4 linked regions of the Caenorhabditis elegans genome follow. The protein of the gene in region 2 interacts with the protein of the main gene of each other region in a pairwise test. Each region holds a gene or a part of one and is shown on either strand. Other genes may lie near its edges.

Region 1 (5,506 bases), on a different chromosome or scaffold from region 2:
TTCAGTGTACAGACTAAGTAGTGATTAATAAGGAGTTGGTAGGTTATGATAACCGACACAGAATCAGAAACCCGTGTGTACGGCTGAATTGGTCGACATAAGCGGGTTTAGCCAGCGTTGCTCGTTTATCACTACCGTAACAAAATTACTCTGAACTGTAATCGATTGGCAACATATGAATGATTTTATCAATGAGAGGATTCAGTTTAAAATTGGTATCTCACGTGATCAATGAAATATGAAACGATTATTTTACAATCAAAATGTTGAAAAGTAACTATTCTTTCAGTTTAGAATATGGCATTGAAGTTTATAGAGAATCACGTAGAATTTTGTGTTCAAGCTTTCAAGTATTCCAATGATAAATAACATTTTGCTGTTCGGTTTACGAAATTATTTTAAATCATCACATCATTTTTTTAATAGACCATATTTTTCAACAACTCTCAGAACTACCAAATGTCAGTAGAAACAGTCTGAAAATCATTCTGAATACAGTCAATTTTCTCTTCAAATTCTTGCTATTACAGAAACATATTTTGTATAGGAATCTTTAAAATATACCTTTCATAGCTGCCGATGAGCACTTTGAACAAGAAAATTCATTCAAAAAATGACTAATTTTTTAATACGGTTTTCATAAACCTGTTTTTTTTTGAACATATCAACAAATGATTAGATAATTGAAAAAAATAATGTTTTCGTCGGTTGTAAGTTTCTTAACAACACACAAGTTTAAAACATATTTGTGCCAGTTTGTCTCTAATATGACTCGAAAATATGAAACTTTTCTAAAAAAACACTAAAATGTATAAAACCGTGTGATTTAACGTAATTAGAATTAGGAATAAATAATTAATCAATAGTGTCAGAATTGAGCTTAAAATTCAGTAAATGTGAAAATTGAGCGATTTTTTGTTTCTAGTCCATTCCGTATTATGAAAAACAAAACATACACCACAAAAACATTTTTTAATGCAATTTAACTTTAAAAAACATTTTCATGATTTTCAAAAAATGGGATTTTTGAAAACATTTCTGAAAATCTCAAAAAGCCCATAGCAGATTGCTAGTCGATTTTTCAACTTTCTTCTCCCTGTTGCTCTTTGTTTTGAAGATCAGAGTAGAATAGTAGTTACAGAAATGCTTTAGTCTTTTCAATCACATATCAATACTAGATTTCCGGCGAAAAATTCGAAAATGACCCTCAAACCAAGTGGTAGTCTGATCGCAATGAAAACTTCTGAATAAGACAAAAAAAACTGAATTTAAAAAAATCAGAACTTGTTTATTTCTAAGCATGGCAAAACAAATTTATCTTCTAAAAAATACAAATAAAAGCATTTCTCACACGACAAACCAAAGACATACTAATGTTGCGAAACATTACTACAACATGAAACTATTCAAATATATTTAATTGTCTGAAAATTTACTATGCTAAATCTTTAATGCCCAACAAAAAAACTTAGTTAAAATATTTTCAAGTTTGGTTTTCAAACCAATTTAGGAAATATGTGAGATAATTAGGGTTTTCAGAGATTTGGAATGAAATCTGTGTGCACAGTTTCATGAATTAATAGTCAATGCTGAAACTTCAATGAGCTAGCTCAAAAATTTGCACATTGTGAGCCCTTTGCTGTGGAGCTCATGCTGCCTTCTATCCTCTTCAAATCATTTCCGGTTTGAAAACAGACACCCATCTGCAATAAACGGTGCCGACCGTGGATATTGCACATATGATCCCTTGCTGCCCTCTTGTAAACTCTATACACCGTATTGCAACGTCATTCAGAAAATGTTTTATTTTTGGTACAATATTGTATCTGACACAATCACAAATCTAAAACTTTGACCCTATCAAGTATGAAGAGAGAAGGTAAATCGAAAAAAATATAGACATATGAAAAAAAAGAGTAGCATATATTGGAAAAAACAGATGATCCTCAAGTAATACTGGACAACATGAAAATGTTTAAGCAGGAATGACAAAATTGACCGTTTTCATAAGAAAGCCTAGATGCCAAATACTAATTCTCAGCAGAATTTAGCGATCAGGTGAGATTTGTGGGGATGTCATAGACGTCGAATTAAAGCTATCAGTGAGATTTTGAAGAATTAATGTTACTCGTGGATCCAGTTCAGGGAGTGGTGTTTCACTTTTGATTGGTACAACTGGAGCTCCAATACTGTGTCGGTTTGGATCATGTGTTGCACGGTGGACGAGGAGAGTTCTTGATTGGCAGAATCCTTTCCCACAGATTTCGCATTTGAATGGCCTGTCCTTTTGGTGGATATACTTGTGGTCTCTAAGATGATCCTGACGACGGAATGCTTTTCCACAAACATCACACGAGTATGGTCGCTCATCAGTATGTGTCCTTTCATGGATCAGGAGGTTGTAAGACTTGGTGAAGTGACGATCACAATATTTGCAGATGAATTCCTTCTTTGGTCGGGCTGCTCGGCCAGTAGTCCTTCCACGTCCAGGGATCATGAACCTAAAACTAAATAGTTGAGATGATACAGTATAAAATTTCTTATCATCATATCGTACATTATGATACAAGAGCTTACCATGGTTGATCGTAAGGAACAAATGGTCGAACGGCTGCAGTAGTGAGCGTCGGGGACATTTTTGGAGACACACTTTCTTCTTTGATCTTCTGTTCAGATTCAATTGAATCAGCCATGTGAGTGAAGTCAAATTTTGCTTTCTTGAGATCGGTGATCATTGGAATTTCTGGATTCATAGCAAGCAGCGCCATTTTCCTCTGCTGCAGAAAATTTTGGAGTTGGAGGTGTTGTTGTGCAAGCATCATTCGAAAAACTTGTTCATTTGATTGAGGAAAAATTGATGTTGGAACTTGTCGTTGCCACGGAAGCATTTTTGTGTGTGCGGGAAGGGCTAGTGTTGATTCCAGCTGAAAAGAAAACAATTATTTCAAATTGATTTGAGGTCGCAAAAATAGCGGAACGAGCAAATACGATTTGAAAAGAGGGAAAAATGATGATACCGTTGGGCAATGTAAGAGAGCAGAATTCAGAAGAAGGAGCGATAGTTATTGTTTGCTCCTTTTCAAGAGAAGTTGTCACTTTGTTAACGAGTATTATCGTCTTATGGGGTAATCTACTACAAACAAATCTAAAAGGAGGAGAGGACTGAACAGGCGGAGCACAATGTTGCGGTGGTGGTAGGGATGACTGTCAAGAAAGAAGGAGGATCACTTACAACTCAGTGGGATACTTTGACTCTATGGTGCCGCTTTTTTGGGAGGAGGGCGACTCACATTTTACACCACGCGTCATCTATGAATTTTTATAGACTCGCTAACACTTCTGAATTTTGGAAACGGCGATAACGAATGATTGGAAATGGAAGAGGGGCGAAATTGAAAGAAATTCTTTGTGCTGGTCGGTAAGTAGAAAGGTTTTGATGGCTTGTTGATGCTCGGGCGCATGATATTATCAAGTACACGGCGGCTATAAAAACGGTTGGCTTCCGTGCTTCGGTCCTACATCAAAGGTAGCCGACGTGCACGGAGGTGTTAGGGGAGTGTTTACCAAACAGTAGAGGTGTATGTGACTAGAAGCTATCTATCTCATTTGCAAGTTATGAAATTGAAGAAAATGAGAACCACATTTTCCATATTGACTCATAGAGAAAACCAGCAGAAAAGAGTCGAAAAGTGTAGAAAAAGTAGAAAAAAGTAGGGGAAAAATGAGAAAAAGGGAAAGCCTTTTCGGGTGAAGACTCGCGGTGATATGCAAACATTAGACATTTTCAGAAGGAAGAAAGTTAGCAGAAAAAAAGAAAAAAATCACAGTTAAATATGGGCCTCTTCTATTGACAATATGATGATACTGTGACTTTGACTCTCCCCGTTTTTCTCACTCTATTTCGGCGATGTGGAAAGAAGAATGGTGCCAAAAAAGAAACTTTGGTATCAATGGGGAAAAACGAAAGCGGACAGGGAGCAGAATATCATTCTCAACCTATTGTTATGATAAAATCGTATCGCGAGCCACCTATTTTCCCGCTTTTAAACATCTCAAAAATTTTTTGCTTCATGTATAATAGTTTAAAAACAAGAAATGATACAAATTATGATGCATGCTGGCCACATAAAAAACAGTAGAACCCTCTTCCGTACGGTTGCAAAACACAATTGAAAAATGTGGGTAAAACGGCGGGAAATTTGTCATTGAATCATATTAGCGGTTCAGACTAATACTAATACAAAATTTTATATGCACTTTTGTCGAAAATTTGGGCACTACAAACTGTATAAAAGTTTGATCTTAATTTTTCAGCTTGAAAATGATTTTTTTAACAGATTCTCCAATATGGAATTTCCAAAAGTGGTACTTTTCAATTTAGTTTTCACAGAATGTGCTCGAATGAGCACTGTCTAACTTAGCTAGCTAGCTACTGTGTAACGATAAAACTGTTGAGTTAAGACAGTTTTTGTTAGAGATCTTCAACAACTCACACAAATAGTTGAAAAATTTGCAGAACCAAGTTTTCAGAACATACAATATCGCCTATACTTGGTAGAATGGAGGAACTGAGTGGCTTCCCAGAAGCAGACGGAGGCGGCCACCACCTCGTGTTCAGCTCGTCTTCTCCTCCGACACGCCCACTGTCTTTGCTGCTGCTCTCTCGGCGGGCGCTGGTTGACTGACTACGGTAGGCCCTGTGCTGCCGTGCACCGCCTACTTTAGAAGTAGAAGTAGATCTTTGAAGATTTCATGACACCCTTTTCAAAGAAGTTTTAGACCTAACTATACTTTTAAAAAACCGTGAAACTGTCTGGAGCGATAAGAAACATAAAAAGCGCCTTTAGGTCTGGATAAAGTTTTTCTAGACACACGGGAACCGAATCTATAGAGAAATTCAAAATTTTTGATTAGGTAACTGTAGTACACCAAAAACATAAGTGACATTTTATAACTTGACTGATGACAACTTAGGACATCTTGCACTATTTAGATAACATTTGCACGACAGTTATACACCTTTCTAGCTACTCGTTAATGATGAGTTATGGAAGTAAACTGTCCTATTATAGTGAACAGAAATTTTGAAAATACACATTAAAATTTGACATAAAAGAGAATGACTTGGAATATGGAGTACCGCGCGGCAGAAAAACCGCCCACTTTTTTTTGAGCAAACCATTTTTCTTGGCTATTCTCCGTTTGAATTTGGTTTCAAAGACGACGACAACTTTTTATGAAACCTATCATGTTGGGGTGGTACGTGTTCCTTTTATGACTCTCACTACATAAACGTTCCCTTTTGGTGCAACATGCCGACTAATGATAATTGACTATTATCTTTGAAAACACTAGAGGTGAGTAGATGGGATGATAGTTTAATGATAAAAAAGACTTGGAAAAAATGAATCAAAATTCTATTTACCTGAAGATTATCCACCGTAGTGATGCCAAAGTCAATCACAAAATGAAATAAGGTGTGAGTCAATGATGATTTCCGGAAAAG
Region 2 (7,270 bases):
TTCGAGAACGATGCAACAAATTGGCCCGTTTATGGTGGTGTCAGATTTTTAATTTTATTTTCTTCATTTTTTCATGTGTTTTATGTCTATTATCAAACAGTAGCTTTTTGGCTCTTATCAGTCAAGCAAAAATATAATTATTTTTTGTTAAACCGTAGATTGTAGTTATCTTATTTGAAATCACATGGTTTTTTGTGTCAGTAGGAATAGTTTTCAAATTGTTTTGTGACAACGAGGAATGAAAAAAGAAGAAATTACATAAATAAGATTTAAATCTCAATCTAAAAACATTTTTAGAACTTTTTCAAAGATATGTTGAATTCTGGCAACTTTAGGTAGTTTTAAATTTTCCACGAAATTTCAAATCAAATGTTAACCAGTTGGTAATATTTGATCTAAAGTTCATACTAATCTGTAATTTTTTGGTGTAATGCAAAATATTAGAATTTTAAAATTTTGAAATCAATTGTTAGAAAGCGTCTCCCTGTTTTGCATATTTTTGTCGTTTATTTTGTTGTTTGTAGATTTGGGTAGATCTTCAGTTTATATGATCTTCGATTGTGCTATTTTCGGATTTTTATGGATAAAAATTACATCTTAAAACTCTCGGAATAAACTATCAAAATGAGGAGCGATGTGTTTTTTTTTAATTTTGCCCTGCAGGTACCCGGAGTAGTTGGCGAAGATAGAAATGGTGTTATCTTATATAAATTCAGACTTTCTCTGTTAAAATTTTAACCACCAAAAAATATAGAATTTATAAAAAGTTTCATTTTGAAATTTTATCTTTTGGGGCCATTTCACTACCTTATCAGGAAGAAATGTGTTTCATCAGAAATTGAATTTTTCATCTTTTCAGAAAGTGTACCTAATACCGTATCATGCTCATATTCACGTGAATAAGGCTTCTGCCCAGTTCTGTGATTCAAGGAAAACTACGAAAAATGATCTCATTTTCTTTGATTTATCACCGAGCTGGTGTGTCATCACACACAGTCTGTTTCTTGATAAAAACGCGCAGAAGTTAGAGCATTCATTGTGATTTTGGGTCTTTAATTTCTGTAAAACAAATAAAGTGACAAGTTTATCATCTGCCTATTTTATCAGTTATATGCATGGTTAGTTGCAAATAAGGGAGTAGAAATTGACTAAAACTCAAAATGAGCACTGAAACGAGGGGTTTTGTTAGTTGCGAAATAACAATTAATACAATCTGGTTGATTACTTTGTAAAAGGATAATAAAATATGCAAAACTTGGCGTATTCTGAGATTTCATTCCTAAAGACATTTATCAAAACAAATGTTTTCTGCAATTTTCTAAATTCTTGGAATTCTGCCCAGCAGCCTCTAATATCGCGTTTTACTTAGAAAATGACTTTTGGTTTCATTTTCTCATTTTCTGGCTTCTATTTTTCACAAATGCAAATATTTACATTTAAATTAGTACTTTCATTTCTACAAAGATCAAATTTAACATTATTGACAGGTTTACTGTTATCTTGTGACAGTTCCGTACTGTCAATCAAAACGAAAATTAAAACTCATGAAATATCAATGAACATAAATTGAAAAAAAAACCCAGTTGAAAGGAGAAAATAAGCGAAACACACCAACAACTGAGTAGTTACGCTCACAATTTGGAAATGATTTTGAAAACTCTCTGGACTGCATTTCAATTTTTAACAAACAATGAATACATACTGATAGTTTTTGTACTTCTCGGCATTCAGAGGCAACTTCCTGCCAACAACCTGGCAACTTATTTAGTGCCACTAAAATAAGTTGCCAAATTGTTGGCAGGAAGTTGCCTCCAAATGCCGAGTTGGAGCAAATGATTCGATATGATTTTAAGGATACCTACGCATGCCTCCTGCCAAGACACGCACCCACCTACTGAAATGTCGCGGAATTTTACCTCCCAAACTATAGATTGGGTGAAACTTCACTGTAAAAGCTTTTTTTAAGTAGTAGGCTGGCAGTAATGAAGACGTCCATACCATAATTTTTAATGTTGTATAGAAAATCTGAATTCTCAAGTATAACATTTTCCAATAATTAGCATAGTCAGAAACTCTCCACCGCCGTTCCGTTCCTTTTTTTTGTAACTATGGAGTAATAGAACAAGATTATTCAAATTCAAATTTTTATAAAACTTTACAACGTCCTTTCCATATATTCTTCACACAACATTTGAAAAAACAACAAATTCATTCGAAATGCATTGCCCATAATGAATCGACCGAAAAACACAAGTGACCGTCAGGAGATCGATAGAGAGAGCCCGTTCCAACTAGACAACTTTTTAGTGCTTATCCTTACACACACTTTCTAGCTTCATAAGAAATGCATCTATTATCGTCACCATTTGGAGACACCAGTTTTAGCGCACATTAATAATCGATCAGGGTCTAGAGACTCCTGTTGGATTGGCATGCCACGCCTACATGACATCTGGCTCTTGACGGGTGATTTGTTACAGTGAGTAGCCACAATTTCGCGCATTTTCTTCTAAATTTCACTGTTATTTGTTCTTCTGATTTATTTCATTTGAACTATGGAAATGTTAGAGTCAAAGCCTCTCAGTGCGATTAGTATGGTTATTGATTCAATTGGAGTTGATCATGAAAATCAGGTGAGTAATTAAACTTGAGCAGTTGTGAATTTCATCAGAAAACAATTTTTCTTTAAAAAAATTTAAAAGTAACAATTTGAGAGTCAGAAAAATGAAATTAACATCAATCGAAAACTTACATTGCATTTGCTTGAAAGTTTTTACAAAGACTTCTGCGTGTCAAGAAATTCCAATTTGAAATTTATACAAAATCCGCACGAGGGAAAATTTCTGTTCGACTTTCAGAGAGTCAAGTAAAATTACCGCATCTTCTAAAAATTCTGAAAGTTAGATTCTGAAAGTCAATCGTGTAAACTTTTGGTTGGTATTCATTCTATTTTCCAATCTCATTTTATCGATACGATCTCTAGTGAAACTTGTGTCTAACATTCTATAATTTTTTTAAATATTTCTAGAACAAATGTAATTGCTGCAATGAGCAAATTTATGATCGTTATATTTATCGAGTAAGTTTGCTGATGTTTGTGGATTTTTCAAACTTTCTTTGCTTTGCTTCTGTAAACAGTCTGCTCAAAATCTTGAATATTTTTCTTTTGCTTCTATAGTTCGAACAACATTTCAAGATTTCAGCCATCATTTATTTTCAGATGGACAATCGATCGTATCACGAAAATTGTGTCAAATGTACAATATGTGAGTCTCCTCTGGCCGAAAAGTGTTTTTGGAAAAATGGGAGAATTTATTGTAGTCAACATTATTATAAGTAAGCTTTAGCAAAATATTCTTGGAATTAATAAAAATACATTATTTCAGGGATCACAGTATTCATCGGTGTGCGGGTTGCAAGAAAGGAGTGTCACCGACAGATATGGTATATAAACTGAAGGTATTAAATTGGGTCAGAATGTTTAAGAAAACATTAAACTTTGAGCGAACCTATACAAAAAGTTGTCAACTTTTTATCAATTAAATTTTTGACTACTTTTGTATAAACAGTAGGAATGCCCGAAAGATTTCAAAAAGCCTACAATTTCAAATTAAAAAAAAAACCAAAGCTTTGACTAATAGTTTTGAAAGATGTAATCATTTTTTACGCTTTGCTCTTTGCTCTGACGGGATCCTGCTAGACGCACAAGCATAGAGCTTGGGGCTTTGATCGGTAAAGTTTGACTCAAAGAACTTTACAGGCTGGGCTCGTGTTCCATGTGGAATGTCATTGTTGCTCTTTGTGTGGACGGCATTTATCACCGGGGGAACAAATTCTTGTTGACGATACAATGATGACCGTATCCTGTATGTCACATTATCCTCCTCAAATGGATGACAACGCACCTGGAGCAATAGGATCTGCAGTTGATATACCATCTTGTTCGACAGAAAATCCAATTGCCCCATATCCAATTGATGAATCTTTTTCATCAGCTTTCCAAGTTAAAAAGGTATACTTTATTTTTCGTTGAAAGTTTAAAGGGATTAAATACCGAATAATGTACTGCATATTTAATTTTTAGGAGGTTGACGCTTATGGATACAACTTTGAGCATTATAGCTTTTCCGATTTCTGTGATGATGATTCACGAATGCTAAAAAGACGCGGACCTAGAACGACAATCAAACAAAATCAGGTATACAATGTAAGAAAGCGGAAATTTTCATAATGATTTTCAGTTGGACGTGCTGAATGAAATGTTCTCGAATACACCAAAGCCGTCGAAACATGCTCGAGCCAAATTGGCATTGGAGACCGGTTTAAGCATGAGAGTAATTCAGGTTTGGTTCCAAAACCGGAGAAGTAAGGAACGGAGGCTCAAACATTTGTGCAATTACTTGAGACATTATGAGCAACGTGGGCTCATTCCTCCGCCAATTCATTTTAGAAATGGTTAGTTTAAAGATTCAATCTGGAAAACGCAGTAATAGCTCTGAAATTTCAAAAAATAGATAGTGACTAGTAAACATTTTAACAAGTTGTTTTGTTGCATAAACATTAAGTTTGACACTAAAACTTTTCAAATCGGACTTTGTTCATAACTCAGATCCGAAATCTCTAAGCAAATAATTTATATAGATGAAAAAAAACTACCTTCTTTCGTGGCGATAAGTGCCTGTTTCGTGCCTACACATATGCCTACCTACTGTCTTAAAGCATGCGTAAATCTATTCCGTTCACTGAAATTCCGGCTATAACTGAAAACTCCATTAAAACTCCATAAAACAGGCAATAGATAGGCGCTTAGGCAGGGAAACATGTCTCACGTTTCTCTAATTTTCTGTATTTAAAGTTTCTCAATCATTCATTTTTGATTGTTCAAATCTATTTTCATAGAATTTTTTCTTCGAATTTCATGATGTTTAATTATTGAGTAGTTTCCCTATAATTATATATAACGCGTTTCCAATTATTGTCTGTTGTCTTGTTCGAAAATCTAAGCAACACTGATGTGGCAGTACACCAGAATACGCACAGAAAGCAAAAATCCAGAAAAGTTTGAGTTGCCACGTCATAAATCACAAACCAAATGGCTTGGCTCTTTCGAACTTTTTGCTGCTCTTGCATTCTTGTTTTTTTTTATTCTCTTTTTTCATTTCAGAAGAAATGGACACAACTGACTTCAACGCGTTTTGCGGAAATTTCGAAGAGGAAGATGATGAAGATTGATGAAGATTTTTTTAATTTTTAAAACAATATATTCCATTTATATATATATATTTCATAATGTATTTTCCTTCCCAAATCTTGAATTTCATTACATGTTTGCCAAAACTTGTGTTCTGAACTTGTTCAAATATTCACGTTTGCGCGAATAAGTAATTGAATGTCAGTCGATAATCTGATCTCAATGATTCCATTTTTAATTGTCCATGAATCATAAAATCACGAAATCTTAAAAATTCTCACACTTTGTCTCGATTCAAAAATAATCCTAAATGCTACGTTTTTGTGTTGGGTTTGTTGGTTTAAAAACGAGAAAATTTTCAATTATTCCGTCACCTTGATTGAAATAAGATTTGTTTTCCTCGTAAAAGAAAACGGTTCAACTAGCTGGTTTTCAAAAGATTTTCGAACCCTTGTAAAAGACTTATGTAACTCTATAATTAATGTTTCCGTCAAAGAATTGTGTAAATTGTATAAAAATAGTTTTAAAAATTAATGGAGGAAACTTCTTGAAAATTCAGCATTAAAATATAGTAGGTGTGTTTTTTTGTCAACGCCTTCGTGATACCTATTCCAATAACTAAATAGGTTTTTGCTACGGGTTGTAGTTCCTCGGAAAAAGAAACAATTTAATTTACTGAGCTAAGTGAACTATTTCCTCGCAACTTCCACACTTTTTCTTTCCTTCCCCAGAACGAGAAAATATTAGTTTTACCTGTAATTACTAGCTTATTTTCCAACATCTAAAACCAGCCCCCTTGAAGTACAATTAGCCAATGACGCACACGTTTGAGACTTTCAGATCAAAGGAGTTCTTCATGAAAACTTTGAAATATTTTCCCGTGGTCTTTGTCCCTGAATGTTGAAAAAAGTGGGAATTTCAGAACCTCGAGACTTGAGTTTTTAATTATACTGCTTTCTAACCCATTCATGTTTGGGAGAACGATAAAGCTATGAATTATGATCGTAGTTTTTTTTCACTATTTTTTTTGTTTGTTGGCTTTTTTTTCAAAATTTCAATGATTTGTTTTCGCATTGACTTAATCAACTTTCCAAAACATTTTTATTAACTTTGTTTAGATTTATTACTTAAGTTTCTGATTCGGTTTGAAGCATTGAACATTCATGTTTATGAAAAGTGCGCTACATAGTTTAAAAAGCTAAACGTATTTTATAAGTTCGGATAATTACTACGGTAGTCCTTGCATCCATGTCTCTCCTCAAAAGCAAATTCGATTGTTTCAGAATGAGTATCCAACCGCACAAAAACCATGTGGTTTTTTTTGATAATCTGTTGTTGATAAATCATCAGAAGTTAATTTTTAAAGCTCAAAATAGATACAAACTCGTGGAATGTTTTGATACTTTTGGTGACCTAATGAGCAACCTATAGCATGTGCAGCTGATTTAAAAGCGTAGTGTTGATGTAGTGTCGATGACATGTTATGGGTAAATTCATCAAAATATATGTACTTTAGTAAGCTAAATTTCCTGATAATTATCGTTGAGCTAAAGACGTGACGATTTTTAAAAACTAATGTGCACTTACTGTTCATTTGATCATAGAGTTTCTAGATTACAACGAGTTTGAAGAAAAGTGTTAGAAGACTAACATTTGATTAAGCTTGGTTTAAATCGCTAGGGTAGTCATTTTTTCTTGCATCCTAGTACAAGTTTTTTGACTTCTCACTGTTCAAACGACTATCTTTTAAGTTATTCTGAAGCACTTTGAACTTCAAAAAACAAACCACCTTCCCCATCCTCGCACATTTTCTAAACATTTCGTATTTTTCAATTAAATAATCTTGACAATTCTTTCCTGTAGATCATTTCCATCTTGCTCTTAACAATCCAAATGCCCAAAACGAAACTAGCTTCGTCAGTAGAGTAAGTTTTAAGAACAACAGAAAGCGAGCGCATGCTCAAGCTAATTTATGCAAAAACGTCTTCCTGTGTATTTTTTTCTTCGTTTTTCCTCCAAAAAAATAAACAGAGACATAATAAGATGTTAATTCGGAAGACGAATCTGGTGTAGATGCTA
Region 3 (8,183 bases), on a different chromosome or scaffold from region 2:
TTTACATAGATTTCTTCACTATTTTATATGATCCAGCGCTTAAAACGTCGAATTTAAGGGAAAATTTATGGAAAAGAGCCTAAACAGTATGTGTTATAACAGTTAACAAAGAAAAATTGAAGGTTAAAAGGGGATTTTCATCGATTTTTAGACGTGTCCTCCGTTCATCTTGGACAAGTGCTCGACCATGAAGTTGCTGGCGTCGATCATGCGGTTTACGCAGTTCTGAAACGGAAAAAAATTGGATTTTTTAAATTTTTTCTTCAATTTTCCCATAAAATTGCAGAAAATTGCCAAATTTTCCCAAATTTTTACCTGAATACAGGTCTGAGTCTTGCCGTCCATCTTGCTTGGCGGACGGTAGTCGGCGAAGCACACATCCCAGCAGCGACCGGTGAGCGTGTGCACTTGTTCGGTGAATTTTTGACGCTGCGTCTCCGCCTGCAGTTGCTGGAGGAATCGATTGAGTTGAGGGTCGGCCGAGTCCATTTCCTGTGAGAAAAACTATAGATTTGATGGGAATTTTGAAAAAAATTGCAAAAAAATCGCTGAAAAATGATGAAAACCCAACGAAAATGATGAAAAAATAAAATAAATTAATTTCATCGCAGAGTGCGCAAGCAACAAGAGAAATGCGCCAGCAACCTCTCCTTGCGCATTCACAGTTTTCGGCGGTTTTTCAAATGATAATTAACTTCGAAATGATTTTTCCGGAAATTTCCCAGTATATTTTGCAGTATTTTAAACAAATTCCCGTCGATAATAATCAAATTTTGTAAATAAATATTTATTTTATTCATTTAAACCCATAACTATTGATTTTGAGCACCAAGTGGCCCTTGCGGGAGCATATATTGGGGGAAATTCAAAAACGGGGGGTTTTGAACGAATTGCATCAGGTTTTTCAGCTCCCCTTCTTTCGCTGAAATTCGTTTTTCCAGCAGAAGTCGCTCACTTTGTAGTCGGAGCCAAATCTGGAAAATTGATAGTAGCTGTAGTTGAAAAGTCGATAATTTGAATTAAAACCGTGTTGCAAGTGCGCTCTATTGATAAAAACTAGTTTTTAGCGATGATTTATTGATTTTACCATTAAAAATCGATAATTTTCACATACATCTTGATAACCAGGTGATAACATGTCAAATGGGTTCATTCCAAGTGTCGGAATCGGTTGAATTAGTGACGTGGACGGATGGATTACTGTAGTTGGGCTCAAAGTGCTTCTCGGAGTTGGAATAGTGCTAGTTTGGCTGAAAATTTACATAGTTTTGCAAGTTTTTTCAGAAAAATTAGAAAATTTTTTTTTTTTGAAAAAATCAATAAAATCTTACATGTTAAGAATTTTATTAACATTTTTAACTTTCGCACGCTTAGAGCTTCGGAAAAACTCCGAAATTATGTCACTGACACAGCTGAAACCAGTGCTACAGTACCCCACGTGACGGGACCCAACTTTTGAATAAATTTGTGAAAATTTGAACCCGGGCATGATGGGGGTCATTTGAAAGGTCTTGTTGAGCTAAATTTGAAATTTTCAGTTTTAAGGGTCTCGCATGGATTTTGGAGTAGATTACTGTAGGTTTTAACGTTTTTTTTTGTTAGAAAAAACCTCTTTTTCCCAATTTTCGCCGATTTTTGTGAATTTCCATCCGACTTCTCATCATCCAACGGATAACTTTCCACTATAACATTCATCGATCGTAGTCTCTTCCGTTTTGTGGGTACTGTAGGTCGGCGGGTTACTGTAGGTTTCACATTGGGTACTGTAGACGAGGTGGAGGAGCCCGGCGAGAGGAAGGAGCTTGGGGAGCTCTGGAATTCAACAAATAGTGTTAAATAATTTTTTAGAAAAAAAAGTTCCGAAAAAAAAAATTTCAATTTTTTTTTTCTCAAAAAGTTTGAAATTTCCCGCCAAACTATTAATTCTTATTAATAACTTACCACTTTCACACAATTATCCTCTTTTCGCCTCAAAAGTGCCGCCAAAATCGGGCTTTTCACCTCCAAACTCGACGGCGGGGGCGGTGTCTTCTGAAGGGGCGAAGCTAAAATGGGCGGAGCCTTGGGTACAGTAACCGGGAGAGCTGGAAGCTCATCAGGCACACAGACTAAAACTGTTTCCGTGGGTTTCTGGAAAAATTTTGATTTTTAAAAATTTCTAGGAATTTTTGAAATTTTGGAAAAAAAAATTTTTTCAATTTTTTAACAACTAATTTTTTTGGTTAAAATCACGATTTTGAGCCAAAACTCGTACATTTTCAAATTAAGCACGTCCAGAGCTTCAAAATAAGGCCCATCATGCCTATATTCCGTGAATGATTAAAATTTCGGGTCCCGCCGCGAAAACTTTCTGGGTTACTGTAGTTTGGTTGTTTTTACTGGTTTTACCAGGTTTTGCAGGTTTTCTGGGTTGCTGAGAGTAAAATTGTGATTCTCAGCTAAAAAAAAATTGACAAAATAAGTTTTTTTTGGTAAAAAATTTTGTTTAAAAAAATTTTTTTTCACAAATTTTCGAAAATCTGTAACTTTCTTAGTTTTCACTATTTTTTCTTAATTTTTTTCTTCAAAGTTAGCTCAGTGATCACACTTTTTTGAAAAAAATTGAAAAAGTTAGTTTCATTCAAAACTACAGTAACCCTGCCAGTTTTCGTGGCGGGACCCGGAAAATTCCCCCAAAATTGCGGGAACCTAGGCATGATGGGTGTCATTCAAAAGCTATTTACACGCCAAATTCAAATAAATTAGTTTTAAAGCTAAATTTTTCGAATTGTTCGAATTGAAAAAAACATTTTAATCCCAAACCTCCGCCGATTCCTTTATTCTGCACGTCATTGACTTCGCCATGAAGCTTTTGAGTTGGAGCTCATTGAGCATTTCTTTGGAAGTGAGAAATGACAGTTTGGACGTTGAATCGTAGTCCAGAAAACATCGGATATCTTTTCCAATCATACGTTTCTGAAAAAAAAAATTTCATTAAAAAATTTTTTTTTCTTTTTTAAATATCTCAAAAACTAAAACAGCTATTAAAAAGTTGTTAACTAAAAAAGTGTGTAGAATTTCAAAATGAACATTTTGTTAGTTGAAAACTTTTTGATAACCATGAAATGGGCGGAGTTACGGAAGGCAGCAGCTACGCCCATTTAATGGTTACTAAAAAGTTATCAACTAGCGAAAAATTCAAATCTTTTGCAAAAATTTTGACAAAAATTGTTAGTTTACAACTTATTTCTAGAATTTCTAACTTTAAAAAAATTTAGTTTAACAAAAAAAAAAAAATTTTTCAGAAAAAGTCCAAAAAAAAAAATTTTTTTTGAAACTTTTTTCGAAAACTTTCTAAATTTTTATACTATCTAAAATGTTATAAAACATTTTCCAACCGAAAAAATCCCAATGATTCACCAAATCCCCCCCCCCCCACCCCCGGTCCACCACCAGTTCACCTTGAAACAAGTCAGCTGACACACAGTCCGAAAAAATCGAATTTTTTTTGGGAAAAAGTGACCTTGATAATATTTCCCCGAAAATATGACGACATTTTGTTTACAAGGAACATTTAATTGGGGACGCCTGTATGGGAAAAAATTTGGAAAATTAAAAATTATAAAAAGATGAAATCCCACAAAAAAAATTTTGGGATTTTTTTTTTTCAAAAAAATAAACTCAAATATCTTCAAATCTAGAAAAGCTAGAAAAAAATTGTCAACTGAAAAAATTTGCAGATTTTTTTTCATGGTGAAGCTTTTGTCGGTTGAAAATTTTTTGATAGCCAATAAATGGGCGGAGTTACTGAAGCTTAAAGGTTGCTACCATTTAAGGGTTAGCAAAAAGTTGTCAACTAAAAAAGTGTGCATTTGATTGTCACGCCCGTCTGGGACAAAATTTGGAAAATTTTACAAAATTAAATTCCAAAAAAAATGTTTTGAGAATTTTTTTTCCCATTTTTTCTAATAAGCCTATGCCTAAGCCCAAGCCTAAGCCTAGGCCTAATCCTAAACCTAAGCCTAAGCCTACGCTTAAGCCTAAGCCTAAGCCTAAGCCTGAGCCTAAGCCTAATCCCAAAAAAATGTTTGAAGCCTAAGCCTAAGCCTACGCCTAAGCCTACACCTAAGCCTAACAATTATTTTCAGAGGCCTGTAACTCTGCCCATTTAATGGCTTTTTGAATTTTTTTTTAAATCGAAAAAAAATCAATAAAACAAACTTTTTCAATATCAAAAACTGCCTGATGGTCTCCCTTAATATCCACGACAATAAAATTGTTCAGAAAAACCATAAAACAGTTGGTCAGGCTGAAAATATCCTGGACGAGCGGGTCGGAGAGCAGCGGTGGTTCTGGAAAATGGAGGAAATTGAAATTGACTGAAAATTCCGAAAATTTCGAGATTTTCAGCTTAATGGCTTTCAAATTTGAGTTTAGCTCAATGATTGCTTTAAAATGACACCCAACATGCCTTGGTTTGAAGGTAATTTGAAATTTTGGGTCCCGCCACGAAACGGATCAGGGTTACTGTAATAGGTTGAATTTATATTTTTCTCGGGAGGAAATAGAGTTGTTTTACCGAGTTTTAGAGTAAAAAACAAAGAAAAAAGCTTTGAAAATCGAAAATTTAGGAAAAAAATTTGCAAAAAAAAAAGAAAAAATTTTCGAAATTTTTTTTCAAATTTTTTTCCAAATTTTTTCAAAATTAAAAAAAAATTCCAAATTAGAATATTATTACTAATTTGAATCTGTAGACTCACTATAATCACTATTCCGAATAATATCAACAGTACTCCCAATGATAAAGCATTTGTCCAGCTGACGAGGCTTCTGATCCACTCTTCGCAGCTTATGAGCCCGAATATCTTCGGGCAAAAGTGTCGACATTTCACAAATCACTTCATTCATCTCTTCCCTTCGTCGTTTTTCATGCTTACTTCGTGTTTCTCGCTTTTGAATAGTTTCTTTCCGAGTTCGCGGCTTTTTGCAGCTCTGCGGGGAGTCGGACATTCTGAAAAATGTACTATTAAATTTTAAAAGCTTATATCTCGGTTAATATTAAAGGTAGGGAGAAATGTTAAACAACAAAGTTATAGAGAAAAACATGATGAACATTTTGTCAGTTTACAACCTTTGGCTCAATATTAACCGAGTTATGGGCTGTCAAAGTTAGGAAAGGTCGATGCAACATGTCTAACTCTAACTTTGACGGCTAGTATCTCTGTTAATTTTGGAGATATGGAAAAGTGCTCAACTACAAAGTTATAGAGAAGTTCATAATGAACATTTTATTAGTTATCGATTTTTTGATAAAAACAATGACAACTGAGATATAAGCTGTCCAAGTTTTTGATCGATGCACCATGTCCAGTTCAACCTTTGAAAGCATATATCTGTTGAGGATATCAATAAATTTATATTAATAAAAGTATATACATAACCAAATTGTAATAAAAATTAAATTTTCTGATGAAAAGACATTTTTTTGAACTTTTTAAATTTTTTTCAAGGATTAAAAAAAAATTTCAAAAAAGTTTAAAAAAAAATTTTGGTGAAAATTCAAATTTTCTAACTTGACAAATATGTACTTTTCATTGTTTTTTTAAAAAAATTTTATTGTAAAAAATGTGTTATTGCCCTAAAGTTTCAGAAAACCCATTTAAATTTTAAATTTTTGAAAAATTTACTGAAAAATGAAATTTCTTCGGTAAAACTGTAGTATCTCAAAGAATAATTGTGCAAATTGCTTGACATTTTGTCAGAATTAGCGTTAAATATATTTTTATTTTTCTTTCAGAAAATATCAAATTTTTGATTTAAACTTTTGGAAAATGCAAAAAAAAAAAATTTAAAAATTAAAAAAAAAAATTTTCAACATTTTTATTTTCTCAATTAAAACCTAAATTTCTCAAAAACTACCAAATGAATTTTGGTGAAATTTTACCAAAATTTGCGTTAAAACTTTATCTTTCAGGCAATTTACTTTAAAATTTGACAGTTCATTTGAGTCCAAAGTTATAAGACCTCAAAGTAAGCCTACGTACAAAAATTATTTACCGAGTTGTATAAAACTTTTGTCAAAAAAAAAAATTTAGAAAAAATCGGAAAAGTGATCAGATGGCAAAAATGAATGGTCTCCGCCGTCTTCATCGCCCCCAACACTCGAAATTGCCGCATTTCTGCGTCTCTTTGATTGTGTGTACTCTCTCGTGTGCCTCGGAATAAGTTGTGTGTGTGGGGGCAGCTGGTTAGGGGAGCGTTTTTTGTATGGCAGAAAGGGACTTTCAAGGTCACTTTCTTCATTTTTCTCCCTCTACGGCTTTCATTTCTGGTTACCCCGGCGGGGAAAACAATATTTTGTAAAAAAAAAATTTTTTTTTTGGAAAATTTTTTTCCGAAAAATCAATTTTTTTTTTGGAAAACCAACTTCAAAAACGAAATCCTCGCATAATTTCCCACTATTCACATTTTTTGCCGAGTCTCTAGCTCAACTTTTGATTTTCTCTGAGTACGGTAGCGCCAAAAGTACGCAAACACCGCCGCAGCTCCTACGACAAAATGCACAGCTTCTCAGGATTTGGTAGCTGAGCTTTGGAAATTGGGTTTCCGGAGTGAAAAGAGACGTAGAATTCATATTATTGATCGAAAATTTACAGTTTTGAATGAAAACCGAAAAAAAACTACACAAAAAGCTTCAAAACGTTCTATTTCGCCCACAATTATCAAATTTCAAGTAAAATTTCCAAGAAATTCGAATTTTCCTGCATTTTTTACCTCTTAAACCATTTTTCCCGATCTTCTAGCTCAAAATTTGATTTTCTCGGGGTAATGCACAACTTTCCAAATTTCAATGTTCAGGCTCCAAAAATCGGGCCCCCGAAAAAATTGAATTTCTTCGAAATATCGATTTTTCTCGTAATTTTTCGAAAATTTCATTGTCAAATTTGAATTTCCCGCCATTTTTCACCCGGGGAACCTATTTTCTAGAGTTTTACCTTAAAATTTAGAGTAACTGTGCATTTTGTCGTAAGAAATTTGGTGCTTGCGTATTTTCGGGCCTACAGTACCCCGAAAAATTTAAATTTTAGCTCAGAACCCCGGAAAAAAAGTATTCAGTGGTAAAAAGTGACGGAGAATCCGAATTTAACAATGAAAATCTTCAAAAATCAATAAAAATCCCGGAAAAAATCAATTTCTTAAAAATATTGATTTTTCTGTGATTTTTTTGAAAATATTGCTGTCAAATTTGAATTTCCCGTCATTTTTTAGCTCGGGGTCCCATTTTCTAGGGCTTTAACTCGGAATGTAAAGAAACTGTGCATTTTGTCGTAAGAAATTCGGTGTTTGCGTATTTTTGGTGCTACCGTACCCCAAAGAACTCAAAATTTTAGCTAGAAACCCAGAAAACCACGATTTAGAGGTAAAAAGTTACGGAGAATTCGAATTTGCAACTTAAAATTCTCCATAATCGTGGTGAGACCCAAGGAAATTCAAATTTTTGCGAATTAATAATAATTTATTACAAAAAAAGTCGTGGGGTCGAGATATGTATTGTATAGAAATCGCGAGAGATCACAAAAATGACACAAAAATCGATAATTTTCAGGAAAAAGTGGAAAATTGTGGAAAAATTGGGTAAAACGTTGATAAAAATGGCTCAGGGGGGGGGGGGGGAATGGAAACATTTTTGTACAATTATTAATACATTCGTTTTTTTTTTCGGGAAAAACTTTGAAAAATCGTTGAAAAAAAAAATCAATAAAATATTGTTTTTTTGGCATTTTTTAATACAATGTAAAAAATTGGGAAATATTACAATCGCAGGGGGAAAATCGATGAAAAATGTCGTAAAATTATTGATTTTTGGGAGATTTTTCAAGAGAAATTAATAAATTATCGATTTTTTCGATTTTTCGGCGGCGGGAAAAATCAATAAGTGTAGATTCTGCGCGACGGGTCGTGACTTCGAATGACACGAATCTCGAATCCTCCAATATTTTTGACAATATCCGGCAGGTGCTGCCCGTCAGTTGTCGGCTGCTTCTGTTGCTGCTGCTCGACGGCTTCCAGCGGAGCCTCGGGCTCGGGCTCTTGCTCCACCGAATTCCAGCGCGGTTTTTTTGCCGGAATTTGTTGTGCGGCGGTCGCCTGATTCTCCAGATTCTCCACATTATCAACGTCGCTCCAGTGAGCTTGTGGAGATT
Region 4 (8,885 bases), on a different chromosome or scaffold from region 2:
AACATATCGATGGGAAAAAGCACAAGCATCATGCTAAGCAAAAGAAATTGGCAGAGACTCGCACATAAGACGCTATATTTATTTTTTGTTAACTTAAATTATTTTTGTTGTTGATTGTTCTCTAAATAAAAAAACAGCTCAGAGAGAAGATTAGGCGCTCGTCCACATCTCCGACGATAGTCAACCCGAACGAAGGGAACTATCTTTAATTGTCAGTGATGACGTCATGTCGTCAAGAACTCGTCATAGCTGTGAGAATTGAACCATTATAGATTTGGACATTAGTTTAGGTTATATCCAGTACACTAAATGGTACATGATAGACAGTGTACATTTACAGATTTATAGATTGTCTCAGTGACTAGTTACCGGAAGAGGAGAGGAGAACATGTGGCGATGTCTTTTGGATCGATATTATTCCGTCTGAAAATTGTTCACTAGGGGGACTGCCGATTACCACTTCACATGACGGAACATGTTAGTTAAAATATTGGCTTTTATACACATTTTCAAAATAGCACCTGTATTAGAATATTCAAGAAAAACCTATTCCATGTTATTGCTCCACGAGCAGAAATGCGATACACTGTGTTGCATTCGTAAGTGTTTACCATAAATGTTACCTTATTAATATCAAATAGATAAGAAAAAGCATGTAGAAGATATAATCACGTGTGTCAATCGACCTTCTCCACCCATTTTTGATTGTTTAGATGGTTAGGTACCCGCTAAAAAAAGAATAATATAAAAAGGAAAAGACGAACAATTTGATTGATAATTCATTTGATTGTTGAGAAGAACTAGAAGAATGGACAAATCGACCAAAGATTTTATGGATTTGAAGAAGATTGGTGGTGACGATGAAAGGGAGCGACGTTTCAGTGATGGTTTGTTCTTTTTTAAATGAAAACTATATGTTGATTAATTGCTGTATTAACCCTGAGAATTTACCCAGATTTTTGTCAAAAATACAGTGCCCGGTCTCGATACGACAAATGTTTGTGAATGGTGTGTACCTTTGAAGAGTACTGTAGATTGTCAACAAAAGAAAATATGTTTTACAATTAAATTTCAACAAAATAGAAAAATCAATGAAAATTCCGCAGAAACACAAGTTTCTAACTACAATACTCTTTAAAGTCGCACACCTTTTCGAATTGAACAAATGTTTGTCGTTTCGAGACCGGACGCCTTAGTTTGGTGTAAAAATCGTAAGGTTTTGCGTCTCGGTAATATATTTCAGGTAATTTTCCCCTCTAAAGTTATTGATATTATAAAAATTTTCAGCATCTGATACATCAATGGATTGTCACATGGAATCTATCGGAAGTCGTCGCCGTGACAGTTTAATCGAACAATTCCGCGATTTTTTGAACCGATCAATGGATTTTAGTGTCAAGATTGATGATCCATTTGAAAAAGAAATGTATTAAAATTATATCGTTTTCTTGTTGATTTTTGTAATTTTATATGTTGAAATTGTAATTTTTTGTTTCTGTAAATAAATGTACTTATATTGATTCGAAAATTTTAGATTTAACAGTTTTAGTTTCACTTCCGTATTTAGAAACATGGATTTTTGAATCGAGACTTTGGAGAACGATAGAAGCAATAAAATATTATAAAACACAACACACATGGAATATTCGTTTAAACAGAACGAGAGATTCAACAATTAAAGTCAAACAACAATGGCATTATTTTATTGCTAACTAAAAAGAGATAATTGAGAATTGTTATCTTAGATATGAAACGCTAGGATATACTAACACACAGAAACTAAATTTGATGTTTGAAAGCGAAGGAGATTTAGATTTTTCGAGAAATTTTCTTAAAATTTCGCACAAGCTGATTTGGAATACTGGAAGGTTAAGGGAAATATTTGAAGATTGAACGGTTTTAGAAGGAAAATGCATATATAATATTGATGGCGGCTTTACCATCGAGAGCCTCGATCATCTCGATTGCCACGATATGACGAACGGGAATGATGATTGGAAGACGAAGAATTATATTCGGAACGACGAGAAGATCCTTCAGTTGTTTCAGAATTGTTGTTGTAGTTATTTCGACTAACAAATGGAGAATTGAAACGATTCGATGATGAATGTCCCCGTTGGTTTCGTTGATGGAATGAACGATTGCTGTAGTTACGAGGGTTACTGTAGTCATTTCGAGACCATCTTTCATCGTAGTTTCTGTTGGAAGAACGTTCACGTGATGTCGATCTTCTTGAGCTACTGAAATTAGAAATTATATATTGTAATGATGGTTAAAACTGATCTGATTTTGAATTTAACTGCTTAAAAATTAAAACGTTTATAATTTTTTAATGATTTTTTTTCCATATCTTACTATCGTAATAAATATAAATGAAAATTAAATTAAATTAAAGATGGGCTAATTATTTTTAAATTCCCTGGCTGAACAAATGTTTTTCAGTATAAAAAATATTTAATATGAAGATGAGTTTTTCAATTTTTAGGCCAAAATAAATTCACTAAAACTTCAAAACTGACTTAAAAACAGTTTCACCGTTATAAATAATTTTTTCGCGGAAAACGAGCTGAAAACGTTAAACTAGGCAATTCATTAACGCGAGAATTTGAAAATAATTAGCCCATCTTTTTTTAATTTTGCAAAATTGATAGGAAACATCAAAAGTTGTTTTTTTTTAATTTTCAGATATTTCGTAAAAACTCACACATTTTCATTATATTTATTCTCCAAAACGTTTGTCGCACTGAGAATTCGAGTTGGAAGCAGTGATGCAATTGGCGGATTCATTGGATCTGGAGATGTAGCTGGTGGTGGAACAATTGGCTCATATGGTGAGAAGATTGATGGAATTGGAATTGATGGTAGAGTACTGAAAATAATAAAATAATATGGAGTACTGAATCTTTCCAAAAACGGGCAATTTTCAAAAAATTTCAAAAAACTTTCAAAAGGAATTAATATGTAACCTTACGGGAGAAAAATATTAATCTAAACTATTTACGTAAGAAAAAAACATCAAAACGAAATATTCAAAAAGGTTCAATTTCATCAGTTCTTATTTTTAATCATTTCACTCATCTGTTCGATTATCATTTTTCAATAAATCGAACTGTAATAGTGAGTTTATTTTTTTCGTCTATCGTTTCCGTTGAAGAACAATTTCCGCACACTTCCAGGCACGTGTGTAGTAGTTCAAAAATGTGTGTCACAAAGTGTAAGCAGAAGAAGAAAATGAAATCGGCGAAGAAGAATCTATCGACTCCTGGTACTGGTGGAAGTGTTAATCCCGAAATGAAGTCAATTTCACATTCGACAACAGCTCAATCGGGAGAGAAGGGAGCAAGCAAAATGGCAAAAGTTCCGTCCAAGGAGGTAAGAGAGGGATGGAAATATTATTAGAAGGGCGCAGATAAAAGTGGTGTTTGGCGGCGAAACCGTAAATTTAAAAAAAAATTCAGTTAGTTTCGCCAATTCTCAAGAGTTTTCAGGCATTTATTATTGGAAAATGACTTTTTTCAGAAGAGCAAGGGACCAAGGCAAAGTGATCGTGATGCAAAGGATGAACACAACGAGGCGGTGTCTCAACTCAAGAAGATTGCCGAAAAAGCTTCAGAAATGTCACATGGACCATCTGTAGCTCCACCAAGAAAACTGTAAGCACAATAATAACTAATTTCCCAATCATTCTCATTACAGTGACGCGAAACGCACTGTGACCGGAATGAAGGAAAGCAAAGATCCCGAGTATGTGACGCTGGATGACGATTTTCCGAAATTCGAGAAAGCAATACTGAAGGGCAACTCTAAAGAGGTGAGGAGTATTTATTTTTAGACTAATCTAAATATTTTCTTATTTTCCCAGGCTACGGAAACTCGAAAACTTGAGATAACGCAACAATTGTCTGTTGATGAAAAGAAGATTGCAGGAAGCAGCGAGAAAACTACTTAAAAACGAATAAAGCTTAATCTATGCAATTTTTACCTGTTATTTTCCTCTTTCGGTTGCTCTTCCTCTGTTTCTTCTTTAACTGGAATCTCATTTATTTCCATTGTAACATCATTCATAAGCACGTCTTCCACATCAATGATCTCTGGCTTTATTCTGACGATCTGCGACAGTTTTTGAGCAACTTCCGTATTGAATTGATGACATATGTATATGACGTCTTGCGGGAAATCATCGGTTCCACCAGTTTCGGAAACTTCTCCCGTAGCCACCGACGCTGCTTCTTCATGTTCTGAATCAGAATCGGACGACGAAGATCGGTTCGCATTGTATTGAGGAGCACGGCGAGTTTTCTGAAAATGTGTTTTGTAAGAATTGAAAAATTAAATTTCAATTAAAAAAAAATTTGGATGTCACTCTTGGTCGTGATGACTCCCGTAGATAATTTTTCTAAAAACTTACGTTAACGTCTCTCACTCGAACATCTGTGTCAAACGAGCGATCGACAGGAGCGCGGTTAACAGAATCCGACTTCTCCTGAATCTCATAATTACCCAGAAAACTTTAATAATTCAACAAACCCCAACTACAGTCTTATTCTCAATTGCTTCTAATCGAGACCACGGAAAGCATTTATTGATCATCTCGTTTATCATAGCATTTCGACGGCGACGAACTTGTTGAAATGTTGCATTTTTGTACACTGCCATGCTCGCTTTGTGTGTCTGGAATTCTTTGATTTTTTTTGTCAATTTCCTAGCTTTATTATAAATTAAATAAATAAAACTATACATCTTTCATATGAGAACTCAAATCACACTGTCTTCTGAATCCTTTTTCACATTCTCCAACTGGACATGTTAGCGGTGGAAGACTCGTCGTGTGCAGCTTCTCGATATGCTCTCGGCGCATATTTTTTCGAACTTCAGCACCAGTCATGCAAAGTTGACAAGCAAGATCCGAATTTGGGAGATCTGGATACGATCGATCCATCTGAAACTCATTTTTTCTTAATTTAAAAACTGCAACCTAGTTAGGATAAATGTAGATACAGGGTCAAAACTTATAATTTCAGTATGATAATCAATTAATTCAAATTAAAAATTAATATAACAGTGTGGGGGAAATGTTCATTCGATCTGAATATGATATTTATTTTTGAGAAAAAAACTCGAAAATTATCTCAAAAAGTGCAGGAAAGTCACCGTCAGGGCTGTAGATTTTTCGTTTTTTGTTTCGAAAAAAATAAGAATAATTCTTTTTTTTTCCTTCTCGAATTCAGATTTGCCTCAAAATGAAATATCATATTCCTTTTTTAAATTTGTTTTTGTAGATTTGCTGCACAGCCTTGTTCTCAATTTAATTTGTTTTCCTGTACATACCGCAGTTTTCAGCAAATCATCATAATCTTCTGGTGCTACATCAGCTGCCATGTGGGAACGAGTCACGTGTCCTTTTCGGAGAACTGTAAGATAAAAACTAAATTCGAATTTAGAGATTTCAAAAACTCACTAAAATCATAAACTATTTCTTCATTACAAACCGCACATTTCACTTTTGCAGCATCTCGTCTCTCTGGAACATTTGGATCAAACCATCCAATTAGTTTATCAATCGCTGACATTTCATCGTAATTTGCATTTTTTCCAGCTTTCTCTTGATTTTGAGCTGCTGTCATTGACTCGTTTCTTTTCTTCCTCGGTTTCTTTGTTTTATCAATAGATATATTATGTTCACTGGTTGTTGAATCAACTATAGCTTGAGCTGAACTTGATGAAGCTGGCTGAGCTGATGTTGAGGAGGCGTTGGGGCAGAGTGAGCTGAATATATCATTTTTAAAACGAGGGCTTTGTCGGAATCTAGGCATTGTTAAAATTGTATTTAGTGAATAAATACCTCTCAGAATTATTTGTTCTTCTATTTAAAAATGCAAATGGTGAAGTCGTAGAAGTTCCCGATTTTGCCTTTTTTGGCACTGGAGGAGATGTTGGAGTTACGACGGAACTTCTTTTATTCTTTGCACTATCAGTAGGAGTCTTTTTAACAGGTGAAGTCGGTGACACTGATCTCGGATCTCTTCCCCATCGCTTCTCAAGCACAGTTTCCATATCGTCAGTCGCTAGGGCGTATGCGTCTTCCACAACAACCGATATCATTTTGTCAATGTATGGGTTTACTGTCTTCTGAAGAAAAAAAACAATATTTTTAATTGTAGAAAATCGTCTCAAAACCTGAAAAGAGCGCTTGTGTCCGTGTTTCGAGCAATGAGCATTGAGCTCCTGTTGTGTGTAGAATCCCATATCACATGTGCTCTCTCCGCATGCATATCTCCTAAAATTATATATGAATTTAATAATAGAAATAACATTTAAAATCCTCACTTGTACTTAAAATGTTTGTAGAAGTGTGCGCCTTCCTCTTTCAGCGTTTCGCAGCACAATGGACACACTAATTGGTTCATATCTTAAAAATACGATTTCATAATTTAATCTCTGGCTGTGATTCAGATGATTGATCGGAAAAAGCGTATTAACTTGAATGATATGATTTGAATGATATTATCCAGCTTGAATGAGTAAAATTTATGTCTTCAGGAGTTTTTTCTCCATGTGGATCCACAAAGAAGACAAAATTAAATACCTTGTATGCTCACATTTTAAAAAAAGTAACAACTTTAGAAAAGTATTACCAGAGCCTTACCAATTGTGTTCTTGCCCATGGAAACTGATTAGAAAAACGAATGCGGGATAAAAATTAAGCCGTCAGAATTCACAAGTTCACTGCAAGAAGATGGGTGTGATATCACTTTACTCAATAAATATTTAAAGTGGAAACAATAAATGAAACTCTGTGACTGAGATACGTGAAGCGTTCACAAACTGGAAGAGGAATAATCGGGATAGAGAAAAATGAATAAAGAATTAAATTAGAGAAATTCAAATTGTATTTTTAATGAAACAATTGGGACTTGAGGAGTTGCTTAAGCTCTCGTTCCGTTCTTTCCTTCCTCCTCTTCGTTGTCTTCGAGATCTGGCATATCTGAAAATTTTTTATAATAAATAACATTTTAATACTACATTGGTTTTCTATCATTAACGAATTACTAATAGTAAGCAAAAAGGATATTATTGCACTTAATACTTACCGTCATCTTCCTCATCATCCTCAAGACCTCCGAAGTCTGCTCCGCCAGCTCCTCCCATCTGGGACATGTACTGGTTCAAATCGAATCCGTTCGCCATTCCACCGCCAATTCCGGCTCCGGCATCCTCAGCCTCATCATCCTCGTCTTCATCCTTCCATTTTCCAAAGTCAACCTTCAACCAATGGACCTTTCCCTTGTTTTGAAGAAGTCTTGGCCACCAGGCTGGGGTCTTCTTCTGAACTGTGATCTCAACGACGCGGGTTGAAGATCCAGTGTGCTTTACGGATGCAGGATCGATTTCGTCGAAGAATTCGAGAGTTGCTTCGTACTTGTCAGTTTTGCTGCTTCCTCTGAAAATTTACGAATTACGACTCATTCTATGTACCATCATGAACATTCTGTGAATATTTAGGAAGCAAGAAATATGCTTCATATCGTATTTAAACATTTAAAATAGAAATCGAAATATTAATCCGAAACGTACTGGAAGTGAAGCTTGTTTCCCTCTCCTTTCAGTTCCTCGATTTTCGCCTCATCAACCTCGATGGTCAGATAGACAAGTGATTCACGCTGGGCCCAGAGAACTGTTGGTTGCTTAGCCATGGTTTTTGCCTGTAATTCGAAAAGAGAACTAGACGGATACGAACAATAATCAATAAAATTCAAGGAAGGTGCACGACATATAAATAAGCGCACAGTTGAAATTAGCATGATTATGCAAATTGACGAAAATAAAGCCATCAGATGAAAATGTTTTCATATCACGGCAATAACAAGCAAGAATTGTCCACTTAATTTCTTTTTTCGATTGATTTTTCTCTTACAACCTTTTTCTCCTAAATACAAGGACTATTGGCCAAAATCGATATATTTTAAGTGCGAATGGCATTGAATATAAACGTAAATGGATTAGAAATATAAAGTCGCGAATGTTCTTCAGGAAAATTGCCATGGAAACGCATAATGAAGATGATAAAACGGCAGAAATTCAAATAATTCGAGAGAGTTCCCAAATCGCGGCGAGACCCAGTGGTGAAAGTGCGCGCGCCTTTGAACGAACACGTCTCCATTTACGAGGTTTTGGCTCATTTCAGCTTAATTTTAAATCGTTCAATGAACATTTTTTGATGGAAATATGGAAGCAATGGATTTTCTGAAGAAAAATTTGAATCGTGTTGACTTCCACAGCGTATAGTTGTTAATTTATTGTTTTATGCGTCTAAAATTGTTCAGAAACAAAAATGCAGTGTTCTATTTTCAGATGGTCAGCTTCTCATGGGTATCAAGGTCGTTACACCATCCTCAAGGGAAACGAGGACTAATTTCCACATTAATATGCCTGGCGTGTGTTGGAATTTTGGCATATTGCGTATCAACGAGCCACTCGATAGGTAATTGTTGTATTTGAGTGCAAAAATAATAGTTTTTTGTTCAGTTCTAATGTCAACTCTTTGGATTACGATTTTTTCGTTTTGCTCCCAATTCGCGTCTCTGTATTCCATGTCGATAACCGAAAAACCAACGCATAAATTTAGTTACGGATTAGCCAGAGTACCGGTTTTGGCAGTCTTTAGTACTACCGTGAGTTTTTGAAACACTAAATATTAAAAATGTATTCCAATTGGAATCAGTATTTTTGAGATTAAAAATAACCTTCTTCAGGTGTTGGCTCAACTATTTTCCATCTTTTTATCGAAGGAATCATTCGAGCACTTGTTATCCCCTGATCACCATGGTTCTCATGATGCTTCAGCGGCTCACGAACATGAAGTAGAAGAAATCGGCGGCTGGCCA

Evidence for each region.
Region 1: the proteins of mec-3 (region 2) and odd-2 interact in a two-hybrid assay, tested with the Caenorhabditis elegans proteins (one large-scale study listed by BioGRID).
Region 3: the proteins of mec-3 (region 2) and hlh-33 interact in a two-hybrid assay, tested with the Caenorhabditis elegans proteins (one large-scale study listed by BioGRID).
Region 4: the proteins of mec-3 (region 2) and ztf-8 interact in a two-hybrid assay, tested with the Caenorhabditis elegans proteins (one large-scale study listed by BioGRID).

The regions. Positions count from the first base shown.
Region 1 is NC_003284.9:6,157,598-6,163,103, forward strand, and holds odd-2 (Protein odd-skipped-related 2), read right to left. Parts: upstream 2,931-5,506; 5' UTR 2,889-2,930; coding exon 2,578-2,888; intron 2,502-2,577; coding exon 2,048-2,501; 3' UTR 1,780-2,047; downstream 1-1,779. UniProt on the Caenorhabditis elegans protein: May function as transcription regulator. Required for morphogenesis and function of the digestive tract.
Region 2 is NC_003282.8:10,457,052-10,464,321, reverse strand, and holds mec-3 (Mechanosensory protein 3), read left to right. Parts: upstream 1-2,454; 5' UTR 2,455-2,555; coding exon 2,556-2,633; intron 2,634-3,028; coding exon 3,029-3,079; intron 3,080-3,220; coding exon 3,221-3,336; intron 3,337-3,386; coding exon 3,387-3,459; intron 3,460-3,760; coding exon 3,761-4,012; intron 4,013-4,084; coding exon 4,085-4,198; intron 4,199-4,241; coding exon 4,242-4,455; intron 4,456-5,164; coding exon 5,165-5,232; 3' UTR 5,233-5,506; downstream 5,507-7,270. Other genes in the region: srb-17 (Serpentine receptor class beta-17), read left to right, coding at 7,085-7,116. UniProt on the Caenorhabditis elegans protein: Transcription factor. Specifies differentiation of the set of six touch receptor neurons (TRNs).
Region 3 is NC_003281.10:1,852,199-1,860,381, reverse strand, and holds hlh-33 (BHLH domain-containing protein), read right to left. Parts: upstream 4,991-8,183; 5' UTR 4,990-4,990; coding exon 4,740-4,989; intron 4,332-4,739; coding exon 4,201-4,331; intron 2,956-4,200; coding exon 2,803-2,955; intron 2,131-2,802; coding exon 1,942-2,130; intron 1,813-1,941; coding exon 1,610-1,812; intron 1,251-1,609; coding exon 1,115-1,250; intron 975-1,114; coding exon 813-974; 3' UTR 779-812; downstream 1-778. Other genes in the region: ddp-1 (Mitochondrial import inner membrane translocase subunit Tim8), read right to left, coding at 148-225, 316-489; pqn-82 (Prion-like-(Q/N-rich)-domain-bearing protein), read right to left, coding at 7,909-8,183.
Region 4 is NC_003281.10:5,267,063-5,275,947, forward strand, and holds ztf-8 (C2H2-type domain-containing protein), read right to left. Parts: upstream 6,410-8,885; 5' UTR 6,408-6,409; coding exon 6,328-6,407; intron 6,278-6,327; coding exon 6,178-6,277; intron 6,130-6,177; coding exon 5,843-6,129; intron 5,767-5,842; coding exon 5,459-5,766; intron 5,412-5,458; coding exon 5,329-5,411; intron 4,940-5,328; coding exon 4,739-4,939; intron 4,672-4,738; coding exon 4,528-4,671; intron 4,484-4,527; coding exon 4,409-4,483; intron 4,300-4,408; coding exon 3,983-4,299; intron 3,974-3,982; exon of another isoform or gene 3,950-3,973; coding exon of another isoform or gene 3,863-3,949; intron 3,812-3,862; coding exon of another isoform or gene 3,697-3,811; intron 3,654-3,696; coding exon of another isoform or gene 3,520-3,653; intron 3,373-3,519; coding exon of another isoform or gene 3,199-3,372; exon of another isoform or gene 3,177-3,198; intron 3,118-3,176; exon of another isoform or gene 3,064-3,117; intron 2,870-3,063; coding exon 2,705-2,869; intron 2,241-2,704; coding exon 1,937-2,240; 3' UTR 1,693-1,936; downstream 1-1,692. Other genes in the region: gro-1 (C2H2-type domain-containing protein), read left to right, coding at 1-68; ZC395.5 (Ovule protein), read left to right, coding at 809-887, 1,288-1,433; ZC395.4 (uncharacterized protein), read left to right, coding at 3,199-3,372, 3,520-3,653, 3,697-3,811, 3,863-3,949; Co-chaperone protein daf-41, read right to left, coding at 6,927-6,985, 7,092-7,441, 7,576-7,694; toc-1 (similar to Transporter Of divalent Cations), read left to right, coding at 8,227-8,280, 8,353-8,482, 8,527-8,672, 8,754-8,885.